Linked DNA regions of Anolis sagrei. The protein of the gene in region 1 interacts with the protein of each later gene in a biochemical or structural test. Links are inferred from orthologs where the notes say so. Each region holds a gene or a part of one and is shown in the gene's direction. Other genes may lie near its edges. The genes, in order: HSP90AB1, STIP1, PTGES3 and FKBP5.

The links.
Region 2: the proteins of HSP90AB1 (region 1) and STIP1 form a complex in vitro, tested with the Homo sapiens proteins (2 studies listed by BioGRID and IntAct, with this or other methods). The link is inferred for Anolis sagrei from reciprocal best matches to the Homo sapiens genes HSP90AB1 and STIP1.
Region 3: the proteins of HSP90AB1 (region 1) and PTGES3 form a complex in vitro, tested with the Homo sapiens proteins (3 studies listed by BioGRID and IntAct, with this or other methods). The link is inferred for Anolis sagrei from reciprocal best matches to the Homo sapiens genes HSP90AB1 and PTGES3.
Region 4: the proteins of HSP90AB1 (region 1) and FKBP5 interact in a biophysical measurement, tested with the Homo sapiens proteins (2 studies listed by IntAct). The link is inferred for Anolis sagrei from reciprocal best matches to the Homo sapiens genes HSP90AB1 and FKBP5.

What each region holds. Positions count from the first base shown.
Region 1 is NC_090021.1:48,271,141-48,279,161, reverse strand, and holds the start of HSP90AB1 (heat shock protein HSP 90-beta), read left to right. Parts: upstream 1-4,542; 5' UTR 4,543-4,645; intron 4,646-8,021. UniProt on the Homo sapiens protein: Molecular chaperone that promotes the maturation, structural maintenance and proper regulation of specific target proteins involved for instance in cell cycle control and signal transduction. Undergoes a functional cycle linked to its ATPase activity.
Region 2 is NC_090032.1:15,947,324-15,955,533, forward strand, and holds the start of STIP1 (stress-induced-phosphoprotein 1), read left to right. Parts: upstream 1-5,002; 5' UTR 5,003-5,107; coding exon 5,108-5,116; intron 5,117-8,210. UniProt on the Homo sapiens protein: Acts as a co-chaperone for HSP90AA1. Mediates the association of the molecular chaperones HSPA8/HSC70 and HSP90.
Region 3 is NC_090022.1:137,197,460-137,205,403, forward strand, and holds the start of PTGES3 (prostaglandin E synthase 3), read left to right. Parts: upstream 1-4,346; 5' UTR 4,347-4,681; coding exon 4,682-4,683; intron 4,684-7,944. UniProt on the Homo sapiens protein: Cytosolic prostaglandin synthase that catalyzes the oxidoreduction of prostaglandin endoperoxide H2 (PGH2) to prostaglandin E2 (PGE2).
Region 4 is NC_090024.1:186,143,745-186,151,386, reverse strand, and holds the start of FKBP5 (peptidyl-prolyl cis-trans isomerase FKBP5), read left to right. Parts: upstream 1-4,489; 5' UTR 4,490-4,555; exon of another isoform or gene 4,556-4,723; intron 4,724-7,642. UniProt on the Homo sapiens protein: Immunophilin protein with PPIase and co-chaperone activities. Component of unligated steroid receptors heterocomplexes through interaction with heat-shock protein 90 (HSP90).

The sequences.
Region 1 (8,021 bases):
GGAGGGCGACTAAAATTATCAAGGGTCTGGAGAACAAGCCCTATGAGGAGCGGCTAAAGGAGCTGGGCATGTTTAGCCTGAAGAAGGATGAGAGGAGATATGATAGCCATGTATAAATATGTAAGAAGACGTCACAGGGAGGAGGGAGCAAGCTTGTTTTCTGCTTCCCTGGAGACTAGGACGTGGAACCTACTTCAATGGCTTCAAACTATAAGAAAGGAGATTCCATCTGAACATGAGGAAGAACTTCCTGACTGTGAGAGCCGTTCAGCAGTGGAACTCTCTGCCCCGGAGTGTGGTGGAGGCTCCTTCCTTGGAAGCTTTTAAACAGAGGCTGGATGGCCATCTGTCAGGGGTGCTTTGAATGCAATATTCCTGCTTCTTGGCAGTGGGTTGGACTGGATGGCCCATGAGGTCTCTTCTATGAATGTCCAGGGTGTAAACCCCGTTCCGCCCTTAGAGGCCTGGCTGTGGGCCTTCATGCCGTTTTGGGCCTATGGAAGCCTTCTCTGATGGCTTTCCTGGCCAGATTGATCCAGCAGCGCTTTGGCGGGGCCTACCCCTGAGGCTGAGAGAGTGTGCCCTTCCCCCCCCCCCTCTCTCTCTCTCCCCCTCCCTCTCAGGGACCTCCTAGAACGAGAGGAACCCGAAAGGCGTCAGAGAAGGAGGGGGACAAAGCGCCCTCTGGAAAATGCTAGAAAGAAGTCGCAGCACAAGCAGCCGTCTCCCTCCGCCGTCTATATCATAGGAAAGAATCCCCTTCGCCTCGCCGTTGCGCTCCAATCAGAAACAGGTGCTCTTCGCTCCGCCCCATTTGCGTGAGGGGAAATGCGCATGCGCGCGGAGAGCACGTTGTAAGATGGAGCTGGAGAGAAACGAAAGCTCTCAAGGAAGGAGGGGGGAAATAATTGTGTGATCAGGCGCATGCGCAGAAGAGCAGAGGCCTACAATAGGAGCAAGCCTGCGTCAGAGCGTGTCTAGAAAGCATGTTCAGCCCTCCTGAGGAAAGAGCAAGCAGAGCTTCCGAGCCAAGATGCTGTGGTTTAAGAAAGAATTGCTTCTTTTCTCCTTTTTGAAAGCCCTGCGCCTTCAGAGAATAATAATAATTAGCGCTCGCGTTATTTCCTGGTCTCCATTGACGATAATGTGGTTATTAAAAGATGGGCGAAAAAGAGGCGAGGTTATGAGTCACCGCCAGGAAGGGCCGCCCATGGCTCTTCCCTTTAAATGGGAAAGGTCTTGGTGGGCCCCACAAGAGAAGCAGCACCATTGCAGAGGAAAGCATCAGCAGAGAGGGCCATCACCTCTTTCTCCAAGCACAGTTCTCCAAAAGTCAAACTGGAGAAGAAAACAAAGACTGCAGAAAACAAACTACTTAGAATCATAGAGTCGGAAGGGACCTCGTGGGCCGTCCAGTCCAACCCCCTTCCAAGAAGCAGAAAAATCTCATTCAAAGCACCCCTGACAGATGGCCAGACAGCCTGTTTAAAAGCCTCCAAAGAAAGAGTCCCCATCACACTCCAGGGCAGAGAGTTCCACTTCTGAATAGCTCTCACAGGAAGCTCTTCCTAATGTTCAGATGGAATCTTCTTTCTTGCAGTTTGAAGCCATTGTTTTGCGTCCTTTGCATCCGCAGAGGTTGTGAGGTCTGTTGGAAACTAGGAAAATGGTTTTCCTAATTTCCAACAGACCTCGCAATGTCTGAGGGTGCCTGCCATAGATGCGAGAGAAACATCAGGAGAGAATGCTTCTGGAACATGGCTATACAGCCTGGAAAACACACAGCAACCTAGTGATTCTGGCCATTAAAGCCTTTGACAATATAATAAGAGTATGGTATTGGAAATGTGTAAATGGTGTAAACAACCGACAATGCCAATTTACTATTACTATATTTGCTTATCTTCTGATTTGAGTCAAGAGACTCAAAGTAATGAACAATGGTAAAAGCATTATAATACAATGTAACATTAAATCAGGTAAAAGCAATACCTGACTGAGAGTATAAACCTCTGGGTTGCTGTGAGTTTTCAACATTAAAACAAAGGATTCCTCCAGGCAGGAAGCAGCCAGCCTTTGAAACTGCAAGGGCATTCAATGCTAATCACTTGCCTCAAGTGGACAAGAGTTCTTTCTCCCATCCTGGACATTTCACAGATATATAAAACCCCACTTGCCTAGTTTCCAACAGATCTCACAACCTCTGAGGATGCCTGCCATAGATGTGGGAGAAACATCAGGAAAGAATGCTTTTGGAACATGACCATACAGTCTAGAGAACTCAAAGCAACCCAGTGATTTTGGCCATGAAAGCCTTTGACAACACATGAAAATAGAATTAAATTTAGAACTATTTTAAAAACAATAAAATTGTTTAAAATACATCAAAACAACACACAATAGTGGCATTTGGTTTCCCCCCCCCCCCCCAACACTCAATTGTTGTTTATTCGCTCAGTCGCAGCTGACTTTGTAACCTCATGGGCCAGCCCACGCCAGACTCCCTGTCCTCAGATGGATGGAACGATGCCATCCATCCATCTTGCCCTTGGTCTGCCCTTTTTCCTTCCATTTTCCCCAGCATCATTGTCTTCTCCAAGCTTTCCTGTCTTCTCATGATATGGCCAAAATACTTAATCTTTGCCTCTAATATCCTTCCCTCCAATGAGCAGTCGGGCTTTATTTCCTGGAGTATGGACTGGTTGGATCTTCTCGCAGTCCAAGACACTCTCAGAATTTTCCTCCAACACCACAGTTCAAAAGCACCTGTCTTCCTTCACTCAGCCTTCCTTATGGTCCAGCCCTCACATCTATAGGTTACTACGGGGAACAAGGGAACAATCCTTTACAGAAGCAACACTCAATATTACACGAGACTGCAACATTTCAAGTTAATTTTCTTCCTTCACTTAGCCTTCTCTATGGTCCCGCTCTCACATCCATAGGTGACTATGGGGAATACCATTGCTTTAACTATGTGGATCTTTGTTGCCAGTGTGATGTCTATACTCTTCACTATTGTATCGAGATTGGACATTGCTCTCCTCCCAAGAAGTAAGCGTCTTCTGATTTCCTGGCCGCAGTCTGCATCTGCAGTAATCTTTGCACCTAGAAATACAAAGTCTGTCACGGCCTCCACGTTTTCTCCCTCTATTTCCCAGTTGTCAATCATTCTTGTTGCCACAATCTTGGTTTTTTTGATGTTTAACTGCAACCCAGCTTTTGCGCTTTCTTCTTTCACCTTGATTAGAAGGCTCCTCTGCACCCCCTCACTTTCGGCCATCAAAGTGGTATCATCTGCATATCTAAGGATGTTAATGTTTCTTCCAGCAATTTCATCCCAGCCTTGCATTCCTCAGGCTGGTATATAGTGCAGGCCATATTATGTACCTGACTGCTACCTTCCATTTCTGCACAAAATAGTCTTCAGAATTTCTATGGACAATGCTTTATGATCTGTTTAGTATTCTTCTTAGGCGATCCCTCGTTGGACGAGTAAGATGGTCTTCCATTATGCGTTTCCTTGTGGGTTCGTAGGTGGCTGTGGAGCCCTATTCTTGATCCGCATCTTCTCCCACAGTGAGGGCATTGGTTTCCAGGTGGAAGGCGGTCCCAGTCGGGGTTGGCTTGATGCGCCTTCCTCCTGGCACGTTTCTCTCTTTCGCCCTCCACTCATGCCTCCTCGAATTCTACAGCACTGCTGGTCACAGCTGACCTCCAGCTGGAGCGCTCAAGGGCCAGGGCTTCCCAGTTCTCAGTGTCTATGCCAGAGATTTTAAGGTTGGCTTTGAGGCCATCTTTAAATCTCTTTTCCTGTCCACCAACATTCCGTTTTCCGTTCTTAAGTTCAGAGTCGAGCAACTGCTTTGGGAGAAGGTAGTCAGGCATCTGGACAACATGGCTGGCCCAGCGGAGTTGCTGTTGGAGGACCATCGCTTCAATGCTGGTGGTCTTTGCTTCTTCCAGCACGCTGGCGTTTGTCCGCTTGTCTTCCCAGGAGATTTGCAGGATTTTCCGGAGGCAGCGCTAATGGAATCGTTCCAGGAGTTGCATGTGACGTCTGTAGACAGTCCATGTTTCACAGGCATATAGCAGGGTTGGGAGGACAATAGCTTTGTAGACAAGCACCTTGGTATCCCTACGGATGTCTCGGTCCTCAAACACTCTCTGCTTCATTCGGGAAAATGCTGCACTCGCGGAGCTCAGGCGGTGTTGTATTTCGGTGTCGATGTTGACTTTGGTGGAGAGGTGGCTGCCAAGGTAGTGGAAATGGTCAACATCTGTTTAGTGGCTGAAGGGGAAAAGGAAGGGGCCTGAGGCAGTTAGGAATGGTGGGAGTTGGAGTCCAAAACACCTGGAGGGCCCAAGTTTGGCCAGGCCTGGTCGACCCCGCTTCAGCTGCCATAGTTCCGTGCTCTATAAAAGTGCTCCATTCCACAGTGTACAGAGGCACTCTTTCCCCTCCTCCAAAGGGATGCGGCCCCTTTAAGGCGGAAGGAGCCGAGGGGCGAGCGGCGCGAGGCCGGGCCGGGCGGATATAAAAGGGGGGCCCGCGCGCTCCCGCCTCCTCTCCCGGCTCTCTTGCTCCGAAGGCCGCCCCGCGCTCAAGGCTCGCCTCCCGCCCGTCTGCCCGCCCGCCATCAAGGTCGGTCCTTTTCTCCCCCTCGGAGGAAGATGGAGGAGCGGAGTGGAATCGCCCCCGGCTCTGAGAGTGGAGGGAGGGGGAAAAATGAGTCCCGCTCCCGGTCAGGAGGCGCCCTCAGAAGAAAGGAATCCGTCCCTGAGGGAGCCTTTGGAGCTAGGCCTCGGCCTCGCCGTGCCTCACCTCCTGAGCCGCCCTCAGGGAAGGAAAGCAAAGAGGGAAAGAAAGGCTTAGAGAAAGACGGAAAGCAAGCAGGTCGCCCCCAGAATACAACAAGGCAGGGAAAGGAGGCGAGGGAGGCCTTTGCGACAATGGCGGATTGGGGAGGGGGGAGCGAGGGAGCTCCCTCGCGTGGAAAGGGAGGGAGGGAAACGCGTGGGCATGGCCGCCTCCTCCCTGCTGCCAGGCCTGGATTGCGACAACGCGCCTCTTTGTGGAATAGGCAAGCAGAGATACATGGCGCACATGTGTGTACGCATCTATCTTCCATATAAATAATAATGTAATGTTCGTTTGTGGAATTAACAGAACTCGAAAACCACTGGACGAATTGACACCAAATTTGGACACAATACACGTATCAGGCCAACGAGTGACCATCACTCATAAAAACACTGAAAAACACAACGGAAGGGACTTCAAAAGCCAAAAAAAAATATTAAAAAATACATTACAGCATATGAGCAAAAACATATATATAGACGCAAACACACACACATATACACAAATATATATACACACAAAGCATATATATACAGAATGGGCCATAGCAACGTGTGGCAGGGGACGGCTAGGATCTATATAAATAAAAATGTAATGTTCGTTTGTGGGATTAACATAACTCAAAAGCCACTGGACGAATTGACACCAAATTTGGACACAATACACATATCAGGCCAACAAGTGACCGTCACTCATAAATACACTGAAAAACACAGCAGAAGAGACTTAAAAAGTAAAAATAAAAAATACATTACAATACATGTGCAAAACCATATATATACATATGCAAACACACATATATACACATACACAAAACACATATACACAGACTGGGCCACAGCAACGCATGGCAGGGGGTGGCTAATATATGTATATGTGGAGAGTGAAAGCAAAAGCACGTGCCTACCCACAGAAATAGAGCACATGTGTGTACATATATATATATGTAGAGGGAGAGAGAGTGCGTGCCTACCCACATGCATATATACAGATATAGCTCATAGGAGAGAGAGAACCTAAACGAAAGTACTGCCACAATTGTGTGCACGCACATATATGTAAGAGATGCATACGTAGCCAAAGAGAAAATATTGCTCGTCACACACATGATGAATTCCTAGCTTTGGGTTTCAAAAATAAAGTTTCTCTGTCTCTCTCTCTCTCTCTCTCTCTCACACACACACACACACACATACATACATATGCAGTTATTGATGGATAGATAGATATGCATACAAATGTATATAGTTAAAAAAGAAGAGAAAATAGTTTTACTACTAATTGTTACTAATTGTGGACATGAGGAATTCCTAGCTTGGGCAAACTGGCTGTTAAGAATTGTGGGACTTGGTAGTTCAAAACACCTGGAGGGACGAAGTTTGCTCATGCGTGCTTTAGTTTCCAGTAGAAAAGGTGTACATTCACAAACCTTTTCTATTTGAGACTACAGGGGAGGGATTCCTCGCATCTACAATGTGTATACATGCACAGGTTTTTGTAGATACACACATACATGTAAAAATTAAAGATCTTTACTAAAACTATACTTAAAAAAAGAATATGCACACACACACACACACACTTGTGCATAACATAGAAGAGAAAATAGCATTACAAATGGTAAACTTGAGAAAACCTGGAGTTTCAGACATCTATTTACACACACACACACATTTATTCAATTCTATGATGCAGTTTTCCCCTCATAAACATCTTTTAATAATGGCTTGTGCCTTAGACTCATGGGTGCTTTTTTCTGTTGGTGGTACTGAAATGTGTGGCTGAGGTAGTGACATTTCTGTTTTCTGTTGGTTCAGTGTACACAAACCTCCTTTCATGCACAAATTTATTTTTAAAATATTGTGTATGAAACTGCCTTCAGTTTATGCATATAAACTTTGTTTCATGCACAAAATTATTTTTCAAATACTGTGTAAAATTAAACTGCATATAAAGGTACATATGAAAAACAAATGAGTTTCATGTTTAGGGTTGGGTCCTATCTTTGAGATTCCTCATTATATACATGCAAATATGCAAAAAGAAATTTTTTTTAACCAATTGGAGGGCCAAAAGTTTGAAAACTAATGCCATACCTCTCCAAACTACAAACCTTAAAGAGTCTATGGGATGCAACTCAAAATAGGTTTATTCAATGGGGCGAATGCATATTTTAGAAAAAGCCATAAACCCTACATTGGAAGAAGGGAAAAGTGAAAATCTGATACTGACAGGTTGAAACAAAAAAGTTTCAATTCAGAGAAATCCCAACAATTTTCTTTACTTCATTTTAGTTTTGATCCCACCTCTTTCCAAATAAGGACTCAAGAACAAGACTGCCAAGATCTCACCACCTGAACTCGATCTACATTGTATCAGCTTAGCAATATAATCAACCCTCCATATTTTCTGGCATTATGAGCATAGGACCCCCACAAAATGAAAAAAAAAAACACTTTTTATAAAATGCCAAGAGAACAGTTCTAGGCATCTGTCTTTTAGTTCTATATAGTCAACATCCACTGGAAACTGGTAATAGAGTTGTGTGGGAGGACAGAGATCTCTCTAGAGACATGTTCTGTTTAGAAATCTCTAGTTCCTCCAGAACAACAACTGGTCGGTCCACAGTTGCACTGGAGGACCTTGTGTTTCCTACAGAAGCCATATTAATTAAGCCCTCAAATGTGGAGGGCTGATGTACCAAGTTTGTCTATGTAGCATAGCAACAGGATAGCAGTTCACACAGAGCTTATTTAGTGATCTTTCTAGATCAGCTTTGTAAATAATCCTTCACTGTCACGGTGCTGGCTAAAGGAGGACAAATTTCAAGCCCACTTGCTTTCTATGCTATGGGTAGTGGAGGAAAAGGATTTTGTTGCCTGTCCTCATGCATGATGGCATGTAGGTCCCACTCAACAGGGCCACAGGTGGTGTCCAAATGCAGGATGTTGCTAGGTGACATCTAGCAGCCTGCTCTTTCACAGCATCAAGGCATTATTATGATACATAGTCATGTTGTATAGTACAGCGGACCAGAATTCTGTTGATACTTTGTACAGGTATAAATTCCACTCACATTGCAGAGACAGTAGCATGATCTTTCAGGGTATTGTGAGATGGGCAATCACAATTTCCAATAAATTATGCTGTGATTGTA
Region 2 (8,210 bases), on another chromosome or scaffold:
TCAACGGTGTCAAACGCTGCGGTAAGATCGAGAAGTACCAGAAGCGCCGATCCGCCGCTATCAGATTGACGACAAAGTTCATCTGTAATAGCAACCAGGACCATCTCTGTCCCATGACCGGGGCAAAAGCCTGACTGGAAAGGGTCCAGGCCGGCCGTTTCATCCAAAAATTGCTGCAATTGTCCCAATACAGCCCGCTCTATCACCTTACCTAAGAATGGAAGATTAGAGACGGGACGATAATCGGCAAGGGTCATAGGGTCCAGGTTGGGCTTCTTCAACAAGGGACGGACCCTTGCCTCTTTTAGGTTATCTGGGAAAACCCCTTGTTCAAGAGGGCTTTGCTGGTATGTTCCTGCCTGGCAGAATGGGGTTGGGTTAGATGGCCTTTGGGGAACTTGTCCACTCAATGGGATATTATGTTGAATATTTGTGGCTATTGTGTCCCTTTCCAACCTCCTTTCCTCCTCTTCCATGAAACAATTCAACACACCAAAATTGAGCTAAGGAGCAAACGGCCTCTCTTTCTTTTTCGGTGCGGCCGGCTGGGCTAATTTTAGGTAGGTTGCCAAGGGTACCACCAGGCCAAGCCAGAAGCCATGCTTTCTAATTATAGAGGGAAATTAATTCCTCTCCTGCCCAGAGCAAAGCAAAATGTCAACAGAACGGAGTTGAGTCTGTAGGTAAAATTCCCCCAAGATACGTCACATAACATTTTGGGAAAAAAATTAGACTTAATTAAAACATTCAGCGTTCTTATGGCTGATGACTGCCTGTCCTACAGTTTCATATCCAAGCCAAAAAGCCAAATATTCCACTTGGGCCTTGACCCAAGTGGAATTTGGGATTTTTTTTCTCCTGTTACTTACTTAGGGGATGCCTCATTGGACGAGTAGGATAGTCTTCCATGATTAGTATTCTTGTGGATCCGTAGGTGGCTGTGGAGCCCTTTTCTTGACCTGCATCTTCCCCCACAGTGAGGTCATTGGTTTCCAGGTGGAAGGCTGTCTCGGTTGGGGTTGGCTTGACACGCCTTCCTCCTGGTACGTTTCTCTCTTTCGCCCTCCATTCGTGCCTCTTCAAATTCTGCAGCACTGCTGGTCACAGCTGACCTCCAGCTGGAGCACTCAAGGGCCAGGGCTTCCCAGTTCTCAGTGTTGATGCCAGAGTTTTAAAGGTTGGCTTTGAGCCCATCTTTCAATCTCTTTTCCTGTCCACCAACATTCCGTATGGACCAAACTTGCCACGAATATTCCATATGCCCAAATATGAACACAGATGGAGTTTGGGGGAAATAGACCTTGACATAGAATCATAGAATCAAACAGTTGGAAGAGACCTCATGGGCCATCCAGTCCAACCCCCTGCCAAGAAGCAGGAATATTGCATTCAAATCACCCCTGACAGATGGCCATCCAGCCTCTGCTTAAAAGCTTCCAAAGAAGGAGCCTCCACCACACTCCGGGGCAGAGAGTTCCACTGCTGAACGGCTCTCACAGTCAGGAAGTTCTTCCTAATGTTCAGATGGAATCTCCTCTCTTGTAGTTTGAAGCCATTGTTCCGCGTCCTAGTCTCCAAGGAAGCAGAAAACAAGCTTGCTCCCTCTTCCCTGTGGCTTCCTCTCACATATTTATACATTTATACATTTGGGAGTTGTAGTTAGTAAAGGTAAAGGTTGTCCCCTGACATTAAGTCCAGTCATGTCTGACTCTGGGGGTGGTGCTCATCTCCATTTCGAAGCCGAAGAGCCGGCGTTGTCTGTAGACACCTCCAAGGTCATGTGGCTGGCATGACTGCGTGGAGTGCCGTTACCTTCCAGCAGGAGCGGTACCTATTGATCTACTCACATTTTGCATGTTTTCGAACTGCTAGGTTGGCTGAAGCTAGGGCTGACAGCGGAAGCTCACGCTGCTCCCCGGAATCGAACCTGTGACCTTTCGATCAACAAGCTCAGCAGCTCAGTGCTTTAACCCACTGTGCCACTGAGGGCTGTACTGGGATTTATAGTTCACCTACAATTAAAGAGCATTCTGAACCCCGCCAATGACAGAATTGGGGCAAACTTCCCATGCAGAACCCCCATGACCAACAGAAAATACTTAAGGCCATCCAGTCCAACTCCCTTCATCAGGGCAAGAAAACATAATCAAAGCCCTCCTGACAAAGAGCCATCCAGGTAGAGATATAGATAGATGTATATGATTCACACACACAGAGATATAGTATCATAGATTTGAAAGGGATCCTTAAAGAAGGACAATGATATGTTGTATGTTCCAGGGTGGGCAATCCAGACACTCTCCACATCAACACTGACAAAGAAACAGCAAGAAATACTGTTTACCCACAAGCAGAAAGAAATTACATATATTAGAAACCAACACTTTCTCATTATTTTATTTTCCAGATCATCAAACTGGGCCACAGCAATGCGTGGCAGGAAACGGCTAGTAATAAATAAATATTTGAGAGGAAGTCACAGGGAGGAGGGAGCAAGCTTGTTTTCTGCTTCCTTGGAGACTAGGACGCAATGGAACAATGGCTTCAAACTACAAGAGAGGAGATTCCATCTGAACATGAGGAAGAACTTCCTGACTGTGAGAGCCGTTCAGCAGTGGAACTCTCTGCCCCAGAGTGTGGTGGAGGCTCCTTCTTTGGAGGTTTTTAAACAGAGGCTGGATGGCCATCTGTCACGGGAGCTTTAAATGCAATATTCCTGCTTCTTGGCAGAATGGGGTTGGACTGGATGGCCCATGACTGTGAGAGCCGTTCAGCAGTTGAACTCTCTGCCCCAGAGTGTGGTGGAGGCTCCTTCTTTGGAAGCTTTGAAACAGAGGCTGGATGGCCATCTGTCAGGGGTGCTTTCATAGAATCATAGAATCATAGAGTTGGAAGAGACCTCATGGGCCATTCAGTCCAACCCCATTCTGCCAAGAAGCAGGAATATTGCATTCAAATCACCCCTGACAAATGGCCATCCAGCCTCTGCTTAAAAGCTTCCAAAGAAGGAGCCTCCACCACACTCCGGGGCAGAGAGTTCCACTGCTGAACGGCTCTCACAGTCAGGAAGTTCTTCCTCATGTTCAGATGAAATCTCCTCTCTTGTAGTTTGAAGCCATTGTTCCGCGTCCTAGTCTCCAAGGAAGCAGAAAACAAGCTTGCTCCCTCCTCCTCCCTGTGACTTCCTCTCACGTATTTATACATGGCTATCATATCTCCTCTCAGCCTTCTTTGAATGCATTATTCCTGCTTCTTGGCAGAATGGGGTTGGACTGGATGACTGTGAGAGGTGTTCAGCAGTGGAACTCTCTGCCCCGGAGTGTGGTGGAGGCTCCTTCTTTGGAAGCTTTTGAACAGAGGCTGGATGGCCATCTGTCAGGGGTGATTTGAATGCAATATTCCTGCTTCTTGGCAGAATGGGGTTGGACTGGATGGCCCATGAGGTCTCTTCCAACTCTAGGATTCTATCATTTAAGAGTTTCCTGACCGTGAGAGCCGTTCAGCAGTGGAACTCTCTGCCCCGGAGTGTGGTGGAGGCTCCTTCTTTGGAAGCTTCTAAACAGAGGCTGGATGACCATCTGTCAGGGGTGATTTGAATGCAATATTCCTGCTTCTTGGCAAAATGGGGTTGGACTGGATGGCCCATGAGGTCTCTTCCAACTCTAGGATTCTATAATTCTCCCTCTCCCATTCAGTAAAGTCTTTGCTGGAAAAATGCGGCAAGCTAATGACAACAATGAGGAGGAAATTCAGCCAATGGGAGCACCTCCCGCTGACGTCTCCACCTTTCCCGTCCAATTAGAATACACTATAGCTGGCCAATGAAACGCTGGAGGCGGGATCTTGGAAAGGCAGAGAAATCCGCCTTACTTTTTGTACGCCCCGCCCCTTCACTCTCAGTGACCCAATCGCGTTTTAGCTCCCATATTGTGGGCGGAGCCGAGGAGGAAGGCGGGATTTCGGAAGACGGACAGGAAGAGAGGCGGATAGGTCTTTAGCTCCGCCCCTTCACGATCCGTCACGCTCAGTGGCCCAATCGCATTTTAGCTCCCCGATTGTGGGCGGAGCCGAGGAGGAAGGCAGGATTTCGAAAGACGGACAGGTAGAGAGACGGACAGGTCTTTAGCTCCGCCCCTTCACTCTCAGTGACCCAATCGCGTTTTAGCTCCCATATTGTGGGCGGAGCCGAGGAGGAAGGCAGGATTTCGAAAGACGGACAGGTAGAAAGACGGACAGGTCTTTAGCTCCGCCCCTTCACGTTTCGTCACTCTCAGCGGCCCAATCACATTTTAGCTTCCATATTGTGGGCGGAGCCAAGGAGGAAGGCAGAATTTCGGAAGACGGAGAGGAAGAGAGACGGACAGGTCCTTAGCTCCGCCCCTTCACGCTGAGTGGCCCAATCGCATTTTAGCTCCCCGATTGTGGGCGGAGCCGAGGAGGAAGGCAGGATTTCGGAAGACGGGCAGGAAGGGAGACGGACAGGTCTTTAGCTCCGCCCCTTCACGCTGAGTGGCCCAATCGCATTTTAGCTCCCCGATTGTGGGCGGAGCCGAGGAGGAAGGCAGGATTTCGGAAGATGGGCAGGAAGGGAGACGGAGAGGTCTTTAGCTCCGCCCCTTCACGACGCGTCACGCTCAGTGGCCCAATCGCATTTTAGCTCCCCGATTGTGGGCGGAGCCGAGGAGGAAGGCAGGATTTTGGAAGACGGACAGGAAGAGTGACGGACAGGTCTTCAGCCCCGCCCCTTCACGCTCAGCGATCCAATGGCGTTTTAGCTCCCGATTGTGGGCGGAGCCAAGGAGGAAGGCAGGATTTCGGAAGACGGACAGGTCTTCAGTCCCGCCCCTTCCCGCTCATTTACCCAATCGCATTTTAGCTCGCCAATTGTGGGCGGAGCCGAGGAGGAAGGCGGGATTTCGGAAGACGGACAGGAATAGAATCCGTTTGGGTGTATAGAAGGGGCGTGTCCAAGTTAAAGGGAAAGAGCCAATGAGCGTCGAGGGGCGGGGCTAGAGGGTTCTAGCAGGTTCCAGAAGGCGGGGTGGGAAGAGAAGCAGGCGGCTCGACTCAGTGAGGGAAGTGGCAGCGAGGAAGTCCGGCCGGCGCGATGGAGAAGGTCGGGCCTAGCTTGGTGTGGCGGGGAAGCCGGGTGGAGGGGGGAAAGGGGGCCTGAGGGGGACGCAAAGGATCTCGGGAAGGCCGCGTGGGGTGGGGGAGGGGCTCGGAGGGGGTCCCCTTAACGGAAGTGGGTTCGCGCAAGGCATGGCGGGAAAGGGAAGCGTGGGCCTGGGAGGGGAGCTTCACAGAACGTGTGAATGTCAGATTTCAAGGGGGGATTCCTCTTGGTGGAGAGAAAGGGGGTCAAAAGCAGGGCCTCCAGAGTTGAGAGGATCTTTGAATATGAAATAATAATAATAATCCACTTCAATGCAAAACATGGAGTCTCCTCCTCTGGAGGTTTTGACTCGGAGGCTGGATGGCCATCTGTCGGGAGGGCTTGGGTGGTGTCTTCCTGCCTTGCAAAAGGGGGGATGGACTAGATGGCCCTTTGGGGTTCTCTTCCAACTCTGATTCTACTGATTATATTATAATGTAATACAATCTTCTATCTATATCTATATATATCTATATCTGCTCTCTGCTATCTATATCTTCTATCTATATGGGGTTCTCTTCCAACTCTGATTCTACTGATAATATTATAATGTAATACTATCTTCTATCTATCTATCTTCTATCTATATCTATCTATCTATCTAAATGGGGTTATCTTCCAACTCTTATAATGTAATGCTATCTTCTATCTATCTTCTATCAATCTATCTATATCTATCTATCTATATGGGGTTCTTTTCCAACTCTGATTCTACTGATAATATTATAATGTAATACAATCTTCTATCTATCTATCTTCTATCTATATCTATCTATCTATATCTATATATCTATATGGGGTTCTCTTCCAACTCTGATTCTACTGATAATATCATAATGTAATACAATCTTCTATCTATCTATATCTATCTATCTATCTATATCTATATATCTATATCTTCTATCTATATCTGTCTATGTATATGGGGTTCTCTTCCAACTCTGATTCTACTGATAATATTATAATGTAATACAATCTTCTATCTATCTATCTTCTATCTATATCTTTCTATATGGGGTTCTCTTCCAACTTTTATAATGTAATACTATCTTCTATCTATCTTCTATCTATCTATCTATATATCTATCTATATCTATATATCTATCTATATCTATATCTATATGGGGTTCTCTTCCAACTCTGATTCTACTGATAATATTATAATGTAATACAATCTTCTATCTATCTATCTTCTATCTATATCTATCTATCTAAATGGGGTTCTCTTCCAACTCTTATAATGTAATACTATCTTCTATCTATCTATCTATCATCTATCTATCTATCTATATCTATCTCTATGCGGTTCTCTTCCAACTCTGATTCTACTGATAATATTATAATGTAATACAATCTTCTATCTATCTTCTATCTGTATCTATCTATCTAAATGGGGTTCTCTTCCAACTCTTATAATGTAATACTATCTTCTATCTATCTTCTATCTATCTATCTATCTATCTATATCTATATCTATCTCTATGCGGTTCTCTTCCAACTCTGATTCTACTGATAATATTATAATGTAATACAATCTTTTATCTTCCATCTATCTATCTATCTATATCTTCTATCTATATCTATCTATCTCTATGGGGTTCTCTTCCAACTCTGATTCTACTGATAATATTATAATGTAATACAATCTTCTATCTATCTATCTACTATCTATCTATATCTATATATCAATATCTTCTATCTATATCTATCTATATGGGGTTCTCTTCCAACTCTGATTCTACTGAGAATATTATAATGTAATATAATGTAATAATGTATCTTCTATATATCTATATCTTCTATCTATATCTATATCTATCTATCTATCTATCTATATCTATATATAACAATGCTTTGTGCCTAATAAGTTCCTTAAAAACAAAAGAACCAATGAATGAAATCACACCAAATTTGGCAACAAAACGTCTCACAACACAAGGAGTGACCATCACTCAAAACACTATGACTTTGTCATTTGGGAGTTGTACTTTCTGGGATTTATAGTTCACCTATAATCAAAGAGCACTCTGAACTTCACCAATGGTGGAATTGAACCAAACTTGGCACACAGGACTCCCTTGACCAACAGAAAACACTAGAAGGGTTTGGTGGGCATTGGCCTTGAGTTTTGGAGTTGTACTTCACCTACATCTAGTGTGGACAATGATGGACCTGGACCAAACTTGGCACGAATACTCAATATGCCCAAATATAAACACAGATGGAGTTTGGGGGAAATAGATTTTGACATTTGGGAGTTGTAGTCACTGGGATTCACAGTTCACCTACAATCAAAGAGCATTCTGAACCTCACAAACAACAGAATTGGGGCAAACTTTCCACACAGAACCCCCATGACCCACAGAAAATACTTAAGGATATCCAATCCAACTCCCTTCATCAGGGAAAGAAAACATAATCAAAGTCCTCCTGATAAAGAGCCATCCAGCCATAGATAGAGATAGATAGATAGATAGATATGATTCACACACAGATAGAATCATAGAATCAAAGAGATGGAAGAGACCTCATGGGCCATCCAGTCCAACCCTCTGCCAAGAAGCAGGAATATTGCATTCAAAGCACCCCCAACAGATGGCCCTCCAGCCTCTGCTTAAAAGCTTCCAAAGAAGGAGCATCCACCACACTCCGGGGCAGAGAGTTCCACTGCTGAACGGCTCTCACAGTCAGGAAGTTCTTCCTCATGTTCAGATGAAATCTCCTCTCTTGTAGTTTGAAGCCATTGTTCTGCATCCTAGTCTCCAAGGAAGCAGAAAACAAGCTTGCTCCCTCCTCCCTGTGGCTTCCTCTCACATATTTATACATGGCTATCATATCTCCTCTCAGCCTTCTCTTCTTCAGGCTAAACATGCCCAGCTCCTTAAGCCGCTCCTCATAGGGCTTGTTCTCCAGACCCGTGATCATTTGAGTCGCCCTCCTCTGGACACATTCCAGCTTGTCAATATCTCTCTTCAATTGTGGTGCTCAGAATTGGACACAATATTCCAGATGTGGTCTAACCAAGGCAGAATAGAGCATGGGGAGCATGACATCC
Region 3 (7,944 bases), on another chromosome or scaffold:
TATTGTCCCACTTGGGCCAGCCTCCATGAATGTGGCCACAGCAGCAGCTCCAACCCAGAAGCCTTCTTATTACTTCATTTTCTTCCCCTTCCTAACACTGTAACTAATCCCCCCAATAAAGTACCAATTAATTGTATTTTTTTCTCTCTCAATAGTGTTACTTTGTGTCTTTTACTGCCTCCAAACTCGTCTCAGTATAAATCTTTCCTCTCCCAGGCTGCAGATGGCTGCCAGCCTGCCCAGGATGCAATTTTCACGTCCTGGGGAGGCCAAAACTGCGTTCCTCTGAACGGTAGATACGTAAACCCATTGGGCCCCTGTATCCGTGAGTCAACGGATCGCTTCAAAATCAGTGCCATTCTTCTCCGGGGGAATTCTAAGATTAATGGCTATCTCAGTTTCGCTCCACTAAGCCTTCCGCCCCGGGAATAACAATTTTTGCCTCCAAAACCTCAAACTGGAGCCCAGCTGTTTCCCTGAAGATACTGCCTCGTTGCCACCATTTTATGGATGCCCAGTGAGCCTGCCGATCCTGGAAAACTGTCGCGGTCACCCCATAGGATACCCAAGATATCAGCAGGCCGCCTTGGTCCTTGGTGAGGAAGGATCTGTAGTTCTCTCCGTGGATCTTGATCTCCAGTGCTGGCAGTCACCTCATAAGAACTCTGACTCTGGGGCACCTTTTCCAACTTGCCTCCTGTGGATTTTACAACTTTTATCAACTTTTAAAACATTTTGGAAACTTTCTGGAACTCTTTCCCCAAGCCCCATGGACTCCCTTTTATGACTTAGGGACTATATGATTTCATGATATTGGACTCTCTATGAACTTCATGATATTGGACTCTCTATGACTCTCTATATTAATTTCCTTTTCCCCCTTTTCCCCTGTGCATGCTGTATGAACCCCATATATGTGTCTATGTATAAAAATATGGAAAGCCACTTTTTCGTGACCCCAGCATGGCAAACCCTTGGGAAATTCCTATTTCCTGAGATGAATTCCCCATTGACTTAAGGACTCCAACAAAGATTTATTGCATGGCAATAACAATGGTGCATCCTGGGTCTCGGAGCATGACCGCCCAGGAAGGCACCCCATGGTGAACCTGGTCACTTGTCAACAATGGGACATTTTGCCTTCAGGGAAGATCAGGATGTCCCATCCGACTCACTCATTGTTTTGCACCCTCGGCTGAAATCCACACACAGATATCATCAATTGATCCCATATCCTTAACTGAAGATTATCAAGGTTGGGCAGCTGTGCCAGCCACTTTTGTATATTTCAACACTACTGGACAATACCAGGCCATCTTGAGGAGTGTCCGGATTATTGCCGGCCATCGGACAAACCATTAAGTTCCATTTAATCCACTCATTTTCCTCTCGGTTAATTGTTTTCCTGCTTGTATCGCCTCCTCGACTTCCATTGGCTCAGGAGCTGAAGCAGTGCTGGCTTCTCCATTGGCTGAGGCGTGCCTAAGCCGGCCGCACCTCCCTCCAGCTGATGACTCCAGCCAATCAGCGCGAAGCCAGCAGAGGGGCAGGGGGCGGGAAGTTTGAATCTGACAACTCTGTATTTTCTATAAAATGTACCCTTTTCTCCCTTCCCAAACATGTCGACTTTGGCAAGAGATTGCGGTTTGACATCTGTACCAGCTGGGACAAAATAAATACAACTCGGTGGCTTTTCTTCAACTTGGTGAGACTTTACTTGGGAAAAATTAGGGAAAAATCTGGGGTGCTTCACTTGTCTCGCCAGGGCTCCGGACTCTCCTTGTTGAGTCTGATTTTGAGACCCTGAGAGGTGATTATTGTGTTGTTGAAGGCTTTTGTGGCCGGAATCACTGGGTTGCTGTGAGTTTTCTGGGATGTATGGCCATGTTCCAGAACCATTATCTCCTGATCTTTCATCCACATCCATGGCAGGTATCCTCAGAGGTTGTGAGGTACATTGGAAACTAGGCAAGTGAGGTATCTATATCTGTGGAATGTCCAGGATTGGAGAAAGAGCTCTCGTCTGCTTGAGGCAGGTGTGAATGTTGCAACTGGCCACCTTGATCTGTATTTAATGACCTTGCAGCTTCAAAGCCTGTCTGCTTCCTGTCTGGGGAATCCTTTGTTGGGAGGGGTTATCTGGCCCTGGTTTTCTGTCTGAAATTCCCCTTTTTTTAGTGTTCCTCTGAATGTATTGTTCTGATTTTAAAGTTTTTTAATACTGGTAGCCACATTTTGTTCATTTTCATAGTTTCCTCCTTTCTGTAACTGCAAATGTCTACTGTATACCATGCAGTTGTGGACAAGTCTACATAAGGACCCCCAAATGCAGCACCCAAACACGAATGAAACAATCAGGGCCAGCTAACAAAGTAGGGATATGGTTATCCCTCAGAAATGTCAACATGCTGGATAATCAGGTTTTAAAAAACATTTCATCTATCTGTTTTACTTTCCTTATTCTTTCTCCCTCCAGTTTGTAATGTATTCTCTGGCTTGAATCCCGGTCTTGTGTTGGGAACAGTGTTCATGAATAATTCTGTGGTGAGATTGGAACTGTTTTTATAATACCTTTGGAAACAGACAGACTGACTGCCGGCTTTAGCAGACACACCTAGAATATTGACTACTGCATCTAACAATATACTGGTACATTGTGAAGCACCAATAAGGACTAAATGAAAATGTCCTTGGAGAAAAACTCATGATCTGAAGCATGTTGTTAGGTCCATGTCTCTAACTGTATCTCTATCTACTCAATAATGTATATTTTATGCTATTTTAAAAACAATTCTGCTTTATTTCACTTCTGAGTTTTTGTGTGGGTCACTCAATGGATCAAACACAATTTTCTTCCTTTTTTCTGCAGCAAATCAACATAGTGCACACAATGTCTTCTAGAACAGTGTTTCTCAACCTGGGGGTCGGGACCCCTGGGGGGGTCACGAGGTGGTGTCAGAGGGGTCACCAAAGACCATCAGAAAACACAGTATTATGGTTGGTCATGGGGGTTTTGTGTGGGAAGTTTGACCTAATTCTATCGTTTGGTAGGCTTCAGAATGCTCTTTGATTGTAGGTGAACTATAAATCCCAGGAACTACAACTCCCAAATGTCAAGGTCTATTTTCCCCAAACTCCACCAGAGTCCACATTTGGACATATTGAGTGTTCGTGCCAAGTTTGGTCCAGATTGATCATTGTTTGAGTCCAGGGTGCACTCTGGATTTAGGTGAACTATAGCTCCCAAACTCAAGGTCAATGCCCATCAAGCCGTTCTAGCATTTACTGTTGGTCATGGTATTTCTGTATGGCCAGGTCTGATAGAATTCCATTGTTGGTGTTCAGAAAGCTCTCTGATTGTAGGCGAACTATAAACCCCAGGAACTACAACTCCCAAATGATAACATTAATCTCCTCCAACCCCACCAGTATTCAAATTTGGGCGTATCAGGCATTTGTGCCAAATTTGGTCCAGTGAATGAAAATCCATCCTGCATATCAGATATTTACATTACGATTCATAACAGTAGCAAAATTACAGTTATGGGGTAGCAACGAAAATAATGTTATGGTTGGGGGTCACCACAACATAATGAACTGTATTAAGGGGTCGCGACATTAGGTAGGTTGAGAACCACTGTTCTAGAAGGTTTTCATGGCCGGAATCACTGGGTTGTTGTGTTTCCTGGGCTATATGCCCATATTGTGACAACCTCTGAGGATGCCTGCCATAGATGCAGGCGAAACGTCAGGGGAGAATGCTTCTGGTATATGGCCTACAGCCCGGAAAAGACACAACCCAGTAGTGCACACAGTGGCTTTGAATATGCACTTGATTGTTTGAATGCACACAAAGCATCAGACATAAATGATTATGAATATTCAACTTCACCAGCAGAATTAATTTTCTCACCTGGTTGACAATTTATAGGGTGGGGGGAGGCAAATATCAAGAACAGGCTCGTCTTCTTCTACGGCGCATGCGCCGGAGTGTGCTTGGAAGCTTGGCAAGCCTAGAGAGAGGGAGAACATGCGCGAAAAGTGCAACTACGCATGCGCCGGGGGTGCGAGCCGGCCCGGCCCAACGGGCGGAGGCGCCTCGAGAGAACGTGCTCGAAAGATGGAATTGCGCGTGCGCAAGGCAGAGGACGAGGGAGCGCATGCGCGAGAACGAAACATCCGGCCGTTTGTGGTAGGTGCGCGCCGTTGAGGAGGGCGAAGCGGCAAGGAGGTGGCGAGTGGTGCGCATGCGCCCTTGTCAGCGTCCATAGTCGGACGGGCTCCAGTGGGAGGGAGAGAGAGAAAGAGGGAGGAAGGAAGGGAGAAGGGAAGAGGGAGGGGTGGGCGTTTTGCTGCGTCACCAGCTTCTGGGGAGCCGTCGTTGGAGAAGGAGCGCGAGGGAGCCAGGGAGAGCGCGCGCGCGGGCGGGTGAGCGCGCGGTGCTTTGTGGGTAGCAGGCCTCACTCGGCTTTTGAGCCTGGAGAGGGAGAGAAGGAAGGAGGCAAGGAAGGAAGGAAGGAGGCGCCGTTGCCCTCGCCCGCGCTTTCTCGCCCTTGCCGAGGGACCTTCAGCCCTGCGCCCTTGGGAGAAGAAGGCTTCCCCGGACTAGCTCTCTGGAGGGAGACGGAGGACAGAGCGGAGAAGACTCACGCCGCCGCCGCTGCTGTTAACACCGTTTGCCATGTGAGTGAGTGAGGAGGGGTTGGCAGAGCAATGGCTGGGCCAGGAAGGAAGGAGGGAAGGCATGAGGGCAGCAGGCGTCTCCTGAGGACGCCGGGGCGGGAGATGGGCCGGGTTCTCTTATTCATATCGACAGGCTGCACGGATCCGGCATCCACGGGTTCAAACCCCACACCCGCCCAGTTTGAAAATATTCCAAGGGAAAATATTCCGGGGAAGGAGGATTAGATGGTCGAGAGATCATTGCCGGGCCTCTGGTTGAGTACTATTTGTATTTCGGCTTTTTTTTGGTCCACACCAGCCCAGTGACCTCATCTGACTATATAACCAACCCACACCGTTTCGTGAACCCTTGCTGGTTGGGTTTTGTGAACCCTTGCTTGCTGGGCTCACAAAACTAATGTGGATATTTTGTTTAGATTTATGTTATTTTAGATTTTTGCCTACTACATATAGTGTAATTTGTTGATGTCAGGTATAATGTACTGATGTTAGGTTTTAATATTACTTTTATATGTTTAGATTTTATTATATGTTATGTTTTTAATTGTATTTAAAATGATATGATATGATATTGGACACCATTTACTTTTTTTTCACACATAACATGAACTTATTTCTTATATATAATGTATATGAAATCCCCCTTTGTGACTTTAGGCTATCTCATATATCAGTCATACACACACACATATATATGTGTGTACACATATATGTACATATTGGTATTTAAAGAAAGCAGATAGTGTAGGATTTTCTGCCTTTATATTCTGGGTTATATGGCTGTATGGAAGGGCCCTGGGAGAAGGACCCCTTCATGTGGAGATAGTTTGTTCTCCATCTGAAGAAAACCCTTGGGGTTTTACAGAGCACTCTCATTTTCTATTAAATACACTATCAAATCTTTATACTGGAGAGTATGAGATGTTTCTTTGAACACAGCCTGAACAAATCTGGGCCATGCAACTGATGGGCCCAAAGGATACAGGAGTTAAAGGTAATGGTTAGGATAAAATCTGGCAACAGGCGATTCAGTTGTCTCGTGGAGTAAATTAAAACATGTGCTGAGAGATGGGAAATGGTTGCTGGTCTAAGTTGTGACCCAAGTTTTGTTGTGAGTTTGAAAAGAGGGTTGGAGTCACTTTCTTTTGAGGCTCCCAGAGTGAGAGATGAAGTCAGGAGAAAAGGGGACAAAGAAAAGCAAGGTGCAAAATTAGTGAGAGAAGATACCAGTGCAGCATATGAGGCTAGAAATTGAATTAATGTGGTGTCCTAGAAATGTTACTTTAAAAACATGGATTATTTATTTATTTTTATCCCAGCTTAGAATCAAAAACATTACAATTTAAAATATACTATAAATATACTATAATTAAACAGTATATTTATTTATTTATCGTGTCAAGAGCGAACCAAAACAGGTGTATTGCATTAAAAAACAAAAAAACACAGACTTGGTATTCTATTAAATGTCATTTGACCACTAGCTGGCCAATTGGAGTGCCTCTGGTGTTGCTGCAAGAAGGTCCTCCATTGTGCATGTAGCAGGGCGCAGGTTGCATGGGAGTAGGTGGCCTGTGGTTTGCTCTTCTCCACACTCGCATGTCATGGATTTAACTTTGTAGCCCCATTTCTTAAGGTTGGCTCTGCATCTCATGGTGCCAGAGCGCAGTCTGTTCAGTGCCTTCCAAGGTGCCCGGTTTTCTGTGTGCCCAGGAGAGAGTCTCTCATTTGGTATCAGCCATTGATTGAGGTTCTGAGTTTGAGCCTGCCACTTTTGGACTCTCGCTTGCTGAGGTGTTCCAGCGAGTGTCTCTGTAGATCTTAGAAAACTATTTCTTGATTTAAGTCGTTGGCATGCTAGCTGATACCCAAACGGGGTGGGCCGGAGATGTCACTGCTTTGGTCCTTTCACTATTGGTTACTACTTCCTGGCAGATGTCAGGTGGTGCAATATCGGCTAAACAGTGTAGTTTCTCCAGTGGTGTAGGGCGCAAACACGCGATGATAATGTGGCATGTCTCATTAAGAGCCACATCTACTGTTTTAGCATGGTGAGATGTGTTTCACACTGTGCATGCATACTCAGCAGTAGAGTAGCATAGCACAGGGATAGATGTCTTCACTGTATCTGGTTGTGATCCCCAGGTTGTGCCAGTCAGCTTTCGTATGATACTGTTTCTAACATATATTATATATTATCAGTAGTAATTATATTTAATATATTAGTATTACAATATTATATATATATTATTAGCACACTGCAATATTAGTACTATATAGTACTGTATTGTACTATGCCACTATACTGCAATTTTATTAGTAATATTACATGTAATATATAATATACAATTGTTATAAGATTGTAATAGTTTTTCAATATTCCTAACCATATCTAATTAGTTGAGAGACCAGTATTTAAAACTGAGAGAAGAGGACTTGTAAAATAATTGGTGAAGTATGGATGAAACATGCCTATTCCTATTAGGATAATAATATCACTTGTTGAATAACAAATATGTTAAAAAACGTGAGGAGAAATCTACACTTGGCAAGAGTTTCATTAAAGGTTTAGAAACAAGCAGAAGTTGATGAAATTCTTCACACAATGGATCTATTCGTTGGAGTGATTTTTCAGTAGCAACTGTAAAATTGGGAGTGTATGGATAATGTGTTCACAACAGCCATCTTAACAGCAAATGAGGTTTGGCAATATATCTTCCTTAGGCCTTCAATCACTTTCATCAATAATTAAAATTGGAGTCTTTTCTATAGTTTCTACATGTGTTGAGAAGCATCCAAGTATATTGGCATATTAAGATCTCCAAGCTACATAACAATTCCCATTTGGTAAAATCCCATCATGTCATAAGTTACATACCTAGGTTACATTCCGGTTAGACTACTATAATGCACTCTATGTGGGCTGCCTTTGAAAAGTGCCCAGAAACTTCAGTTGGTTCAAAGAGCAGCAATCAGATTGCTTACTGGGGCTAGCTATAGGGAGCAGACAGCTTCCCCTGCCAAAATGTTTCAGGACACAGTTCAAAGTGCTCCTTCGATGAACCTGTCAGACACCTACAATCAACTAGAGAGGGCTTTCTCTCTGTACCACCACCCGCTCAAGTGCATTTGGTAGGAACATGGGAAGAGGGCCTTTTTGGTGGCTGCTACTACTGTGGAATAACCTCCCAAGAGAGGCCAGGATGGCCCCATCCCTGCTGGCCTTCCACAAGCAGGTTGAGATTTTACTCTGCCAGCAGG
Region 4 (7,642 bases), on another chromosome or scaffold:
ACAAAATCAATCCCAAAACTCAAGGGTTTTCTGTTGGTCATGGGAATTCTGTTTGCCAAGTTTGGTTCAACTCCATCATTGTTAGAGTTCAGAAAGTTCTTTGATTGTAGGTTAACTATAAGCCCAGCAACTACAAACTCCCAAATGACAAAATCAGTCCTGTCCCCACAATCCCACCAGTATTCAAATTTGGGCGTATTGGGTATTTGTGCCCAATTTGGTCCGGTGAATTTGAAAATACATCCTCCATATCAGATATTTACATTACCATTCATAACAGTAGCAACATTACAGTTATGAAGTAGCAACAAAAATAATGTTATGGTTGGGGGTCACCACAACACGAGGAACTGTATTAAAGGGTTAGGAAGATTGAGAAATACTGCATTTGTGATCTCATCACACTAGAGAATGAATCTAATTTAAATCCAGTTGCTGCCTCCTGCAGAATTCTGGGGTTTGTAGTTTAGGGAGGATACTTTAACAGCCTCGCTAAACTACAAACCCCAGAATTTTGCAGGAGGCAGAAAGTGAATTTAAACTGGATTCATAGTGTGATGAAGTATTAGGTGAATCTAGAATGAATGCAGATGGACATCACTCTCACTGCCATGGCTCAATGCTATGGAATCCTGGGAGTTGTAATTCTATCCCTTTTAACTGCAAGAGCTCAATGATTTGGAGTTTTACAAGGCCTCCCTTGAGTCTTGTCAAAAAATGCTGTTGCCACCCTAAACGACAACTCCCATGATTCCATTGAGGCACTGAGAGCATAATAAGCATTCATTCTAAGGTGTAGATGCCCCCAAGGCAAGACCCACGACTCCTACTCACCTTTCTAGGTTCTTCGACCACAGCTTCCTCAGGGATGACGGTTTAGTATTCCTTTCCGTGGGGGAAAGGGCCCCTCTAGATGCCCTCTCCGGTTCCCCTTCGCTTTGCTGCCTTTGTGCGTGTAAACACTGGAGCCGCGCGGCTGAGTCTTGGCCGAGAGAGAGAGAAAAAGATCAAGGTTTCGTAACACACGGCGGACCTTCCCGGAAAAACAAAGAAAACATAAACACTCGGGGCGCAATCCACGCCGAGAAAGAGAGGGAGGGAGCCCTCGGGCCCTTGTACCCATCCGGAGAAAGGTGGGACAAAAACACAGCCCATGAACCCAGCCACACGAAGAGCACGTTTTCATCTACACTGTGGAAGTTCAACAGTTTGACACCACTTTAACTGCCATGGAATCCTGGGAGCTGTAGTTTGGTGAGGTCTCACTACTCTTGCCCCCGCCATGATTCCATAGCATTGAGCCATAGCAATGATAGTGGTGACAAACTGCATTCATTCCACAGTGTAGATGCACCCTCAGTCTGCATCCATCCATGTTGACTTTATTATACTGTATGCAGTTATTTGCCAAGGCTCAATGCTATGAGTTGTAGTTTTACAAGGTCTTTAGGCTTTTCTACTGGTGCCTCACCAAACTCCCAATATTCCACAGCACTCAGTAAAGTGGTTTCAAAGTGTGTTAATTCCACAGTGTAGATGCAACTTCAGTCCGCATCCATCAATGTTGACTTTATCATACCGTTAGTATGCAGTTAATTGCCATGGCTCAGTGCTGTGAGTTGTAGTTTTACAAGGTCTTTAGGCTTCTCAACGGGTGCCTGATCTAAGTACAACTCCCAGTATTCCATGGCACTCAGTAAAGTGCTATCAAAGTGTGTTAATTCCACAGTGTAGATGCACCCTCAGTCTGCATCCATCCATGTTGACTTTATTATACTGTTAGTTTGCAATTAATTGTCATGGCTCAGTACTATGAGTTGTAGTTTTACAAGGTCTTTAGGCTTCTCAATGGGTGCCTGATCTAATTACAACTCCCAGTATTCTATAGCTCTCAGTAAAGTGGTATCAAAGTGTGTTAATTCCACAGCGTAGATGCACCCTCAGTTTGTATTCATTCATGTTGATTTTTTATACTGTTATGCAATTAATTACATTGGCTCAGTGCTGCGAATTGTAGTTTTACAAGGCTTCTCAGCAGGTGCCTGATCTAACTACACCTCCCAGTATTCCATGGCACTTAGTAAAGTGGTATCAAAGTGCATTAATTCCATAGTGTAGATGCACCCATCCACGTTGACTTTATTATACTGTATGCAGTAAATTGCCATGGCTCAGTGCTCTGAGTTGTAGTTTTACAAGATCTTTAGGCTTCTGTACTGGTGCCTGATCTAACTACACATTCCAGTATTCCATAGCACTCAGTAAAGTGGTACCAAAGTGTACTAATTCTACAATGTAGATGCACCCTCAGTCTGCTTCCATCCATACTGACTAGAAAACAGGATGATTCTCATGGAGCATCTACACCAGGCATGGGCAAACTTCAGCCATTCAGGTGTTTTGGACTTCAACTCCCACAATTCCTAGCAACCTACCAGTTGTTAGGAATTGTGGGAGTTGAAATCCAAAAGACCTGGAGAGCTGAAGTTTGCCCATGCCTGATCTACACTGTAGAATTAATGCACTTCAACACCACTTTACTGAGTGCTATGGAATACTGGAAGTTGTAGTATGGTGAGGCATCAGTAGAGAAGTTTTAAAATCTTGTAACACCTTGTTAAACTACAACTCATAGTATTGAGTCATGGCAATTAACTGCATACAGTCTGAATGGTCAGGTTAGGAGAAGAGAGGCACTGTAGAATTAGTGCACTTTGACACCACTTTACTGAGTGCTATGGAATACTGGGAGCTGTAGTTTGGACAGGCACCAGTAGATAAGGCTAAAAACCTTGTAAAACCTTGTTAAACTACAACTCATAGTATTGTGTCATGGCAATTTACTGCATACAATCTGAATGGTCAGTCATTCGGGTTAGGAGAAGAGAGGCTCTGTGGAATTAAGACAGTTTAATGCCACAGATGCAGATTGAGGTGGCATCTCTGCAGTAAAATTAATGCACTTTGACACCACATCAATGAGTGCTATGGAATACTGGGATTTGTAGTTTGGACAGGCACCAGTAGAGAAGGCTAAAGACCTTGTAAAACTACAATTCAGAGAATTGAGCTAGGGCAATTAACTGCATAACAGTATAATAAAGTCAACATGGATGGCTGCAGATTGATGTGACATCTACACTGTAGAGTTAACACACTTTGATACCACATGGCTGAGTGCTATGGAATACTGGGTGTTTGGTGAGACACCAGTAGAGAAAGCCTAAAGACCTTGTAAAACTACAACTCATAGCACTGAGCCATCTACACTGTAGAACCAATACACTTTGAAACCACTTTACTGAGTGCTATGGAATACTGGGAGTTGTAGTTTGGTGAGGCACTAGTAGAGAAAGATGAAGACCTTGTAAAACTACAACTCATAGCACTGAGCCAGGGTAATTAACTGCATAACTGTATAATAAAGTCAACATGGATTATGCAGATTGAGGTGGCATCTACACTGTAGAATTAACACTCTTTGAAATCACTTTATTGAGTGCTATGGAATACTTGGAGTCAGGCCCGTAGCCAGGATTTCGTTTGGGGGGGGGGCTGAATTTTTTTCAGGGGGGGTTTCAGGGGGGGCTGAGTTTGGGGGGGGGCTGAGTCTGAGTGAAAGAGGGTCTAACCTAGCAAACCTTTTGCATCATTACCCCAATACCCCCATGCATATGGGATATATTGAGCATGGTGATCAGATCGTGATATGAATAAACATAACAGTTTAAATAATGCACCAGTAAGGCCTTTTCGTGAACCACCATGAGAATTTCGGGGGGGGGGGGGGGGCTGAAGCCCCTCAAGCCCCCCTCCCCCTGGCTACATGCCTGCTTGGATTTGTAGTTTGGTGAGGCACCAGTAGAGAAAGCTGAAGACCATGTAAAACTACAGCTCATAGCACTGAGCCAGGGCAATTAACTGCATAACAGTACAATAAAGTCAACATGGATTATGCAGATTGAGGTGGCATCTGCACTGTAGAATTAGCACACTTTGATACATTACTGAGTGCTATGGAATACTGGGAGTTATAGATTGGTCGGGCACCTGTAGAGAAGGCTGAGGACCTTGTAAAACTACAGCTCATAGCACTGAGCCAGGGCAAGTAACTGCAAAGGAGTATAATAAAGTCAACACGGATGGATGCAGACTGAGGCTGCATCTACACTGTAGAATGGAGGCAGTTTGACACCAGAATGCTTTCCACAGTGTTATAAAGGATGTGAGGCGCAGGGGAGAGGACACGTGTCTTCATTTTGCACCGAGTAAGTGACACGCGAGTTCTATCCCACTCCAGAGACAAGTTGGGACCCCTTCCCTCAGGCAGCGGGTTGTGAAAAAAGGAAGGCGGTGCCATGTTTTCACACAAACACACACAAAAGGAGAAGCGGCCAATGGCGGGGAAGCGGTACCCGGACGGACAGGGGCGGGGGCCAATGGGAGCGCGAGGCGGGGCTTCACCCGGGGGGGACTGGCGGCCAGCGCCGGTAGCGGGTGTCATTCTCGGCAGGAGCCACAGAGGGAGGAGGAGGAGCGGCGGGGCGAGGAGCAGGTACCCGTGGGCCATTGGCTGCCTTCCCGGCTCCGTGGAGAGGAAGAGGCGCGCTGGTTCCCAAGGGGAGGGGGCCCACCTTGTGCCCAGAGAGCGCCTTCCCCCCTCGCGGTATCAGCCCATCCATAACTCTTCCAAGAGGCGTCGTAGGGAAGCATTGCTATCGCTGTGAGTGAGGAGGAGACGCTGCTCGTAGGCTGAGGAAAGGGGGAGCAAGGCTGGAACTGGAGGGGGAAATGTGATACCATACTACGCTTGGGATAATAGATCCATCTCTGCATTGTCGAAGGCTTTCATGGCCGGAATCGCTGGGTTGCTGTAAGTTTTTCGGGCTGTATGGCCATGTTCGCTCCTGAGACCTCACAACCTCTCGGAGGATGCCTGCCATAGATGCAGGCGAAACGTCAGGAGAGAATGCTTCTGGAGCATAGCCAGACAGTCCGGAAAACTTCTACAACCCAGATCCATCTCTGCTTCTTCCCCTTCCTGCTTTGCATGTGTTGTTGTGTTCTGTACTCCGTGTGTTTTCTGTTCTTCCCATTGTACAAACTCCACGTTTACCACGGAGGGAAAAGTTAATGATGTCTTGTCGAAGCTTGTTGTGAGTTTTCCAGGCTGTATGGCCATATTCCAGAAGCATTCTCTTCTGTCGTTTCTCTCTCTTGTTTTGGTGACTTGAGAAACTGCAAGTCGCTTCTGGTGTGAGAGAATTGGCCGCCTGCAAGGACATTGCCCAGGTGATGCCAGGATGTTTTGATGCTTGACCATCCTTTGTGGGAGGCTTCTCTCATGTCCCTGCATGGGAAGCCAGAGCTGACAGAGGGAGCTCATCCGCGCTCTCCCCGGATTCGAACCTGTGACCTGTCGGTCTTCAGTCCTGCCGGCACTGTACCACCAGGGGCTCCTGACTTTTCTCTCAGGCAGTAAGAAGCCAGAACTTGAAACTGCTAGGCCATTCAATGTTAATCAAGGTGGCCAATGATCAAAGGCCTGGAGACTATGAATCCCTATGAGGAGTGTCTTGAAGAGCTAGGGAATGTTTAGCCTGCAGAAGAGAAGGCTGAGAGGAGATAGTAGCCATGTATAAATATGTGAAAGAGTGCCATAAGGAAGAGGGAGTAGGCTTCCTATCTTCTGCCCTGGAAACTAGGACTCGGAGTAATGGGTTCAAATTACAGCAGAGGAGATTCCACCTGAACATTAGGAAGAACATTCTGGCGGTATGAGCTGTTCAATAGTGGAACTCTTTGCCTTGGAGTGTAGTGGACGCTCCTTCATTGGAGGCTTTTAAACAGAGGCTGGATGACCATCTGTCAGGGTTGGAAAAAGTGGATTGAATAATAGAATTATAGAGTTGGAAGAGACCTCGTGGACCATCCAGTCCAACACCCTGCCAAGAAGCAGGAAAATTGCATTCAGAGCACCCCCAACAGATGGCCACCCAGCTTCTGTTTAAAAGCTTCCAAAGAAGGAGCTTCTACCACACTCCAGGGCAGAGAGTTCCACTGCTGAACAGCTCTCACAGCCAGGAAGTTCTTCATAATGTTCAGGTGGAATCTCCTTTCTTGTAGTTTGAAGCCATTGTTCCGCATCCTAGTCTCCAGGGCAGCAGAAAACAAGCTTGCTCCCTCCTCCCTATGAATTAGTCTCACATATTTATACATGGCTATCATGTCTTCTCTTGGTCTTCTCTTCTGCAGGCTAAACATGCCTGGCTCTTTAAGCCGCTCCTCATAGGGCTTGTTCTCCAGACCCTTGATCATTTTAGTCGCCCTCCTAGATGGCCCATGTGCTCTCTTCCAACTTGTATTATTCTAATTGAAACATTCACATCTCCCTCTAACAGACAAGAGTTCTTTCTCCCACCTTGGACCTTCCACGGATATTTAAACCCCATTTTCCTAGTTTCCAACAAACCTCACAACCTCTGAGGATGCCTGTCATAGATGCAGGCGAAACGTGAGGAGAGAATGCTTCTGGGACATGGCCACACAGCCCGGAAAACTCACAAAAACCCAAAGTTAATGATGTTGTGATGAGCCGTCCTCTCTCTTCCTCTCTCTCTCCTCTTGGTGCCTCATCTTCATTATGTAAGGAGGAGGTGGAGAATAACAGGCTTTTCTCCCCTCCTTTTGAGGGAATTTCAGATCTCATATTACTTTCTCTCTCCCCCCCCCCCCCCCCTTCTTCATATTGTCAGGAAATTGAAAAGATAGCAACCAGAGGTTGGTTGGTTTGTTTATTGGAGGGAAAAGAGGCGTTTTGTTTTCCCCATTCAAACCCGCCGTCAGCTAACTCCGTGGGCTTCCCAAGCAGACCTCACAACCTCTGAGGATGCCTGCTATAGATGCAGGCAAAACGTCAGGAAAGTATGCTTCTGGAACATGGCCATACAGCCTGGAAAACTCACAGAAACCCGGTGATTCTGGCCATTAAAGCCTTGGGAAATACATCTTTTGTAGTTTGTGGGTCAATGTATAACACTTCTTGATGTCATACAGGTAGTCCCCAAGTTACGGATAAGATAGGTCCTGTAGGTTTGTTCTTAAGTTGAATTTGTATGTAAGTCGGATTTATTTACATTTGTAAGTGTAACTCCAGTCTGTCTGTATGTCTGTCTAGACAAGGCTTGGGCAAACATGAGCCCTCCAGGAGTTTTGGACTCCAACTCCTACCATTCCTCACAGCCTCAGGCCCCTTCCTGAGGCTGTGAGGGCCTGAGGCTGTGAGGAATGGTGGGAGTTGGAGTCCAAAACACCTGGAGGGAGGGGCGAAGTTTGCCCATGCCTGGTCTATAAGCTTTGGGCAGTATACAAATAAAGTATTATTATTATTGAAAAATTGGTTTGTTGTTGAAACAGGGATTGGTGATAAAGCTTCAATTGAGACTCCTTTTCCCCAGGATAACTCTTCCAAGAGTGATTTTCCCTTCCAAGGGGTAGATTTCTCTCACTTCCTGTTGTCTCACCTCTGTTCTTAACTAGGCGTCCTTTGTAACTCAGGGATTGTCCATACAATTATTGTTCTTCTGTTGCATCTGTGCTCTCAAGCCGCCTGTAAATTTTTGGTGACCCCAACAATGTCTTC